Linked DNA regions of Drosophila melanogaster. The protein of the gene in region 2 interacts with the protein of the main gene of each other region in a pairwise test. Each region holds a gene or a part of one and is shown on either strand. Other genes may lie near its edges. The genes, in order: Ccdc85 and CG3880.

Region 1 (3,922 bases), on a different chromosome or scaffold from region 2:
AGCCTCATGACCGCAAAAAGATTCCAACTCGGATGAAGGCTTAAAGAAATGAGTAATATTAAACATTCAACTTAGACCCCTAAGGAAACATACTTTTTGTCCGAGAAGTAATAGTGTTAATAATTGTATTAATATTAATTACTATTTACATTTTGCCAATTCAAACGATGCCTGACTGTTGCATTGTTTGTGGTATGTGGCCAAGCAGTTTTCCCAACTACACCATCCCGCCTTTCCATTTAACCCATGGACAATGCATTTGCATTTCTTGGCCGATTTCTCCCTTTCGCGTTAATGGGTTAATGCTGCTGCTGCTGTTGCCTGGCATTAGTTACAGTTTTCCGATACACGAAATTGACTTTACATATTTCAGGCAGCGGGCGATGTAACAGGTTGTTCGGCGCCATCTCTTTCGCTCTTGCGGGCATTTCGTTTCGAAACGGTGGCGTCGCTGCTTTTACCTGTTGCATGCGGCGTGGTTGTTGCTGTTGCTATTGCAACTGCTGCAGCAACAACAAAAGCAACGGCGATGCTGCAGCGTGGTCGGTTTTCGCTGCTGGTTTTGTTTGATCTTGTGTCTTATTGTTGCGCGTTGTCGTGTATCTTTCTGCCTGTTATTTGTTGCTTTCCTCGGATGCGATACTATCGCCATCGCTCCTGCTGCCTCTCCTTCTCACTCACACCAGCAAGCAACTGTTGAATTTATTGGCGCATATAAATGCCTCAAAATTGATGTTATTGTCGTCCGATATTCCCTTTCTTGCCCCCTTGCCGCCTCGCTGGCTCGTTCCTTTGTTTTTGTCCTGCTTGTTTTGAAAATTGATTTTTACTCGGACTTTTATGGCCGTAGTGGCCGAGCGATAAGTGGAGGAAAAACCCGCCTTCGTTTGCGCACCGTGGAGGGAAAAGACAAAAGACCAGAGACAAAAGAAGAACAAATGGGCAAGGTGGGCGTAGCGCTGACAAAGTGGGCGTTCCCGAGGAGAATAGAGCAATTTTCTGGATCGAAGGGAAAAGAGGGGGCAATGAGTTAATTTTCCGTGGGCCGAGGCCCATGGATTTTTAGTCGACTGACGTGGGCTTGGTACACGTAAAAAAGTATTGATTCAATGTTTTTTCAATAGCTGAAGAGCCTGAATTGAACTTTTTGTGAGTGAGTTATCATGTATGTTATTCAAATAGTTCCTTGCACTGTACATTAATTGTGTGGAGAAACGTGGGCAGGGAAAATGGCAACTTAGGCCAAGGCAACTGCAGTTGCTGCAATTGCCAATCTAACAGCAAAACTCACCTTTTATTTTTTTTTATTCCAATCCGATCGCGCGCTCTCTCTATGTTTCTCTATCTATCTCTGTTTCTCGCTCCTTCTCTCCTTTCAAAACAAATCACAAATATTTGCGCATGCGCGACTGCGCATTCCAGGGATACAGATACACACAGACACACACAATACACTGGCACACAGGGGCACTCGATTCCGCCGTTTGTTTTGCGGCTAATTGTTTATACAGCGTAGATTATTCTTCGCACTGGATGTATTTGTTCATCCGGCTATTTTCGTTTGTTTTTGCTCCGCACGAGCAAATTTGCAGCGCACACGCAGCCGAGAATTCGCGCAATCGCTTTTTCCTGTATGTATCTTTTATTGGCCACAGTTCGCGAGTTTTCATGCCCTTTTCGAGAGCCAAAAAGACGCGTCGCCTGCTGCGTTTCGCGAACTATTTTCGGTTGGCTAGAATCCCGTAAAGGCGGTTTCAGCCGGTGTTCCCCTTGCACTTAACAAACACTCAAGCGGCACTCGCAACTAAAGAACAAAAAGTTTGCGAAAATGCGGGCGGTGTGATTAGTCGCCAACACGAATGTATCGAGTGCAGGGCGGGGAAAAGTATAACATAATTTATGCGATATTTAACAATAAAATAAACACAACGCAATAATTCAGCCGGCGATGCGCACTTTTACGTTTTTTGAACGGCAAACGATCGCAACGATCGCAGTTTTGTGACTGAAAGCGACCGATTTCTAGAGATGCGTTCAACCATCCACAGTGCTGTCGACTATCGATTGTTTGTGTTCGACTAAGATATCGGAGTGGAATGTGTTTGGTTTAAAGTGTGGGCATAAATCGATCAATCGATCAACTTCTATTTTAGTACATATTCAAATTCAAACTCTTCCGTTAACGATCTAAACGGAAATTTATCTTGCCTGCTTCTTTTAATAAGTATAATCTTGAATATATTGGCTTGAAGTTTTCATAAGAAACACTTTTATTTAAAAACATTTTGGCTAAATTTCAGCGCCTAAATTATCATCGTATTTCGCCGCCACACCCCAAAGGCAGTTCTCCCAATGGCCCTCAAACCTAAACTGTGTTTCCGATGCAGGCAGCTCCTCCAGCTTCAGCTGACTTGCGCAGAATGAACTGTGCGTTTACGTGTCGCACCAGAAGAAGGTATACCCAGTGAGTCCCTTTGACTCCTCTGGTGGTTGCCATGTTATAAAATTGGCTCTCACGTTAAACCTGAAATCCTAAGCTAATAATAAGAATAACTAAATCTTCTTGGCTGTGCATTTACTTGGACCAATTTAATACTTTCAAGTTGGCTTTACATAACTTGTGTAATTTGATCTTGCATACATAAAAGCATAAAATATATTGCAAAAATACATATGTATACATGGTATGTGTGTTATATAATTCTCTCTATAAACGTTGTAAATTTTGCGTACGGCTGGTAATTAGAATATTTGTTTACATCTGAACACTTAAGATCCACCGTCCCGATTCACTTAAAACATTTAACCTAAATCTATTTGTTTAACGCGTTGAGTGTTTCTCTTTTTTTTTTTTAGTTGAGTCCGTGTGCATTAACTTGTAAATCTGTTCAAAACTGCATTGTTCGTTAAAAGTTGTTTTTTAAAATATAAATATCGAAAATTTAACAGGTAAAAAGAATAATTTCGTAAGAGTAGCTGGTTAAAACAAACAAGGGCTAACAAATCCGTAAAATATGTATACACAAGCTTTCCGTTCCAAGCGATCATAAAGACCCCTGCTCCGTGACCAGCACAACGCTCTGCTCCTGCGCAATGGCAGCCAGCTCCTTAAGCCACTCGTCCATGAGCACAGCACATAGGGCCAGATCGCGTGATCGCTCGGTGCCACTTGTGCTGGCGATGATTCCCATGGAGGCCACCGAGTCCAGGGACGCCGGCTCCGAGTTGAAACCACCCGTCGACGGGCCGCCATCCAGACCGTGCAGAGTGCTCGCCGAGTGGGTGGTTGTGTTCGACTGGGCGGAGAGCGTTAGGGTGGAACCTGCGATGCTGCTGTTGCTTCCCGATGCCGCTGTTGACGTCGCGTTGGCTCCTGTGCGTGATGCTCCCGCTGGGGGCTGCGTACTCAAGCTGGTCTCGCATGTGCCTGCGGACGTCTGAGCTTGTGATATGCCTCTTCCATCGTTGCTGGCATTATTCCCCACCAGATTCGAGGCAGCTCCTAAAAACGTATGCGAGGATTAGCAACAGCACATGATATTGACATTTTGGGTTAATTAAAAAACAACAATAACCACATGTATATATGGGATTCCACAAATGTTTTCTATATTCTACTATTAACTATTTTTTTAGTGGAAAGCATAATGTACAAAGCTCTACGAAAATAAAGATACTACGCACAAATATTAACAAGACTATGCCATATTGGGTTAGGTTTGATTAAAACTTTAAATATTTTATCAAGCGTGAAATATTTACCGGTGAAGAATGCGTAAATTTGTGATAAGCCAGATGAAGCTAAGATTTGTTTGATTTTTTGATCGATTCGATAAAAATAAAGAAATAAAAGAAATTAATTTATTATAAACGATGCCGGCGGCATTTTACAGAGATGTGTGTCAACCAAATTTAGCCCTGA
Region 2 (3,922 bases):
GAGAGTGCTGCGCCTCGTACAAGTCTGACAGAAGCGGCGGCTTCTCGCGAACCCGACTGAGCAGATCGGACATCTGCCTCGGTTTTGGGACGGTGGGTGTCGGCACAGCCAAATTAATGTGCAGTGGGTAGCCGCCGTGCTCCCAGGTGTCGGCCAGAATCTGGAGGCTGCGATTGGCCTCAAAAACGCGGGCGCGTTGAAAGTTTAGCCTTTCTTGCTGCAGTTCAGACCACTGATCCTGTGCGAAAATCAGGAAAGGGGTAACTATTAATTACAAGCTAGAGGACTACTTACAAATCGGGTTCCTAAACGGCCGAAATACTTTATCTGCTCCTGTACATTGAGCACCTGCATCATATACCAATCGCGTGCCTTCTCCACGCCATCGAGTCCGAAAAGAAGCAGTTCCCGCTGCTCCTCCAATTGCTTCAGTCTTTTTAGCATGTTGTAATCGATGCCGTGTTGCAGAGTGTGCCTCCGCGACTCTCTGCGCTTGCTGCTGGTCTTCTTGGGCACAGCCGGAAGGGCCAGGCTCCAGTCGGTGGCCGAAGCAGAGGTGGAGGAAGAGCCACCGTCAGCCGATCCACGGTGTTCGAATTGTTCCCGCGACTGCGTCGTTTTTGACTTTCCTGCGTCCGCCATCAGGTTCAGTTGCCAGTTTTGGAGGGCATGGCGAATGTCGTCTTTACCCAGAGCAGGGGACTTGGGTACCTGTCGTGGAGGTTTTGGCGGCGGAGCAGGAGAATGGAACTCCATCTCCGGAGCAAGAGTTCCGTGGGAACGAGGCCGCAACTTCAGGTCTTCCACAGCGTTTTGCTGATTGCGGAGCAGGCACAGCTTGAGGCCGGCGCAGAACCGCTCGAAGGAGAGAAGTCCGCTACTGGGAGTGACCCGACGGAGTGAGTCCACAACTCCGCGTGGCAGTCCCTTGGAGCCATCATCCTGCCAGCCCTTCTCGATGTCCGTGAAGCGCACGTATCCGGTCTGCTTGTCATCTAAGATGTCGAAGAGCTTTTTCATGGACAGGACGAACTGCTTAGGCAGCGTATCCAGTTCCCAAAATTGCGACTGCCCCTGTGGATGGCTGCCTCCCACATCGCCTATGCTTAGGTTCAGCAGACTGGTACTGGTATTCTTGTTCTGGCGGAGCATCTTCGTCTGCGGATGGCGCAAAATGGAAAGTGGGATGAGATTATGAATCGTATAGTCCCACGCTTGGCACCAATGCATAACTTATATTAATAGGAGCTCATTTGCATGGGTAACTCCAAATGGAATGTGTGTGAATCTGGCACGCTGCCTTAGGACTGAATCTCTGAGCTAAGATATTTCCCACTTATTTACAAGCAGTTTTAACAAATTTATTTTTATAAAATCGTCTAGTCGCCACACAAAATTACTTGATTTCAAACTCTACAATTTTATTTAAATGGGCTCAACTGAGACGTGCAAATGAATGATTTTGTTAGTTTCTTGCCTTCAAGTACCAAGTTTACTCAATGTTATTATCGCAGCTGCATCTGTACCTTAGTCCACTTTGGTTGCTTATTTTGTTTATAAACAAAGAGACGGCCCTCCATTTGGCTGACTTACCCAAGCTATGCGGAAAATTGGCTCCTGAAATCCGAGTCCGCGGCTCGTCTGGCAGCCTTTTGAGGCCGTTCGTCAAGGCTTCTGCGCAAACTCTGCAACTATTCTGTGTATGTAATGCAGCTCGGTCGCTTGGATCCCCGGCCAAAACACCCAAAGCCAACCAACTGGTTATATTGACTGCACACTAGATCAGCGGCCGAGGTTTTGGGCCCGAGTCTCGCACGCATGCGCAACTTGCGCGACTGGTTTCTGTGGGTTTTCGGTGGATCTTCCAACACAAGCGCAGCTGAGAGAGTTCCAGGAGGCTAACACACACAGGCTAGGCCAATACCACATCGCAGTCTCAGCAAAGTGCCGAATAGAGAGGCTCTCTTATGATTAGGTAGAAACGTATTTATTAGTAGAAATGCACTGCTCTTGGCTTAATCAGTCGAAAGAGGGAGCTAACCGCCTAGGTTAAGATTGTATCTGGTAGATGCACGAACTGCAAACTCTGCGTGATCCGTATAGGGCTGTGGGGCACCCGGGTGGATTACTAGAATGAGCCTTTCACCTCAAAGTTGTGTTCCTCTAAAGGCTAGAACTTAGTCTTATTCTAAGGATTTCCTTCGAAAATCCTGTCCAGGAAGTGTTCACAACTCGGCCACCGACTTCCGGCGCACGTACTTGGCGAAGTAGTCCGGGCGCCAGCACTTGCAAGAGCCGGGGATGAGGAACCAGTCGTAGTAGAGACGCACCTGGAAGCAGCCCAGTTCATCGTGTCCATCGCAGTGGGCGTCCACCTGCGCCGCGGGGCCGGCTGCTCCAGACGAGGTTCCGTCGGAGGCGGTAGCCACGCCTGCCCTCTTCTGCAGGTACTGCTGGTAGGCCTGGAAATCCTGCACAGAAGGGGCCTGAGTGGTGGTCGAGCTGGTGGGCACTGTGTCCTCCGCATTGGGGTAGAAGATCTCCGCCACCAACAGGCTTACCCAGCGTGGTGACGACAAGCAACCGCCGTCCAGGTAGTGACAGCGTGCCTGAATGCAACGCGTCACCTCCACCGTCTGGGTGAAGTAGCCCTCATAGGGAATCTGGACCACATAACGCCAGGCGCCTTGGTAGTTCTTAGCGAAGACGGGAGTAGCGTACTCTACCTTGGCGGGACAGGGAGTGGGAGGACCCTCGTACCGGATGGGACCCACCTCCTCGCGCCTTTCCGCAGTGGGCGTGGCAGGGGCTGCTCCTCCGGTGTCTCCCTGAATTGCCCTGTATAAGGTGCAAAATCTGTGGGTGGAGTTAAAAGTTTAAAAATCTTTTATTAATTGACCTGCACGCAGTTGTGTCGTCAAAATGCTAAGCAGTTGAATACCCCATGATGTACTCCTCTCTTAACCTATTCTACAATATCTATGGATGTCGATTAAAGTGTTGAGCTTCTTTAGTTGTATGGCTTTACATTATGATGTGGAAAGTGAAATGACAAGCTCATTTGGGTTCTTTGCCTTGATAATTCTTCGAATCTATAATTTTATAAAGATGACTCATAATTTTTAAGTGGTGACCTCTTTAGCTTTATATGCGCGCCTTTCCCGTGCTTTAAGAAATACGATATATTTATCTTTCATTTATGTAGCAGTTAAGATTGGAATAACTCTACTCCCCCGTTTCCATGCTAAAAACTTACACTCCACCGCCATCGCAGAATTTCCTTGGCTTCCTCTCCTCGGCGGCCCTTCTCTGCTGGTTATTCCGATCCCTTTGCTTGTGTTGCTCCTCCTCGTCCAGGGCGGGATCGAAGTAGCTGTACTCGTTGGACTCCACGCCCTCCGGCAGGCTGCGGCGGACGCGAGTGGAACCTCCTGCGGGATAGGGCCTGTCGATGTTGTTGCTGTCCAGCTGTTCCACGGGTTCATCTCGAATGATCTGGGTGACCTTGGGTAGGGTATCGTCGGCCTTTAGAACGGGCAAAGTTTTCGAAAGGAACTTCAGCGTTTGGTTGCGAATAAGTTCGCTGTGGAGGAGGTGTACATTAGAGATGTCTGAAATTTGTTACGCAAATATTTTCACCTACAAGGGATAGGGCTCCCCGAGTACATTTTGTCCCAGCGGATTCTTGGGTATCTGACCCTTGTTTAGATCTCCGCAAATGTTGTGAACGGACACGGCAGACTTCTTGCCGGCGGCCACGTCCTTGCACTCCGCATTTACAAAGGTGTAAGGTGGCGGCCTGACCTTGGGAGGCACCGCATTCGGGGACTCGACGAAGGCGTAATAACCCTCCGGAGGCTGCTCCTCACCGTAGTCAGATGGCGACTGCTGCTGCGGCTGGGAGAAACCCAATTGGGCCAGC

The links.
Region 1: the proteins of CG3880 (region 2) and Ccdc85 interact in a two-hybrid assay, tested with the Drosophila melanogaster proteins (2 studies listed by BioGRID).

What each region holds. Positions count from the first base shown.
Region 1 is NT_033779.5:2,997,371-3,001,292, reverse strand, and holds the start of Ccdc85 (Ccdc85), read right to left. Parts: upstream 2,008-3,922; 5' UTR 1,292-2,007; intron 1-1,291. Other genes in the region: CG3558 (uncharacterized protein), read right to left, coding at 3,045-3,502, 3,763-3,801.
Region 2 is NT_033778.4:24,758,518-24,762,439, reverse strand, and holds the start of CG3880 (uncharacterized protein), read right to left. Parts: upstream 1,777-3,922; 5' UTR 1,594-1,776; intron 1,159-1,593; 5' UTR 1,153-1,158; coding exon 295-1,152; intron 239-294; coding exon 1-238. Other genes in the region: spz6 (spatzle 6), read right to left, coding at 2,226-2,856, 3,257-3,583, 3,644-3,922.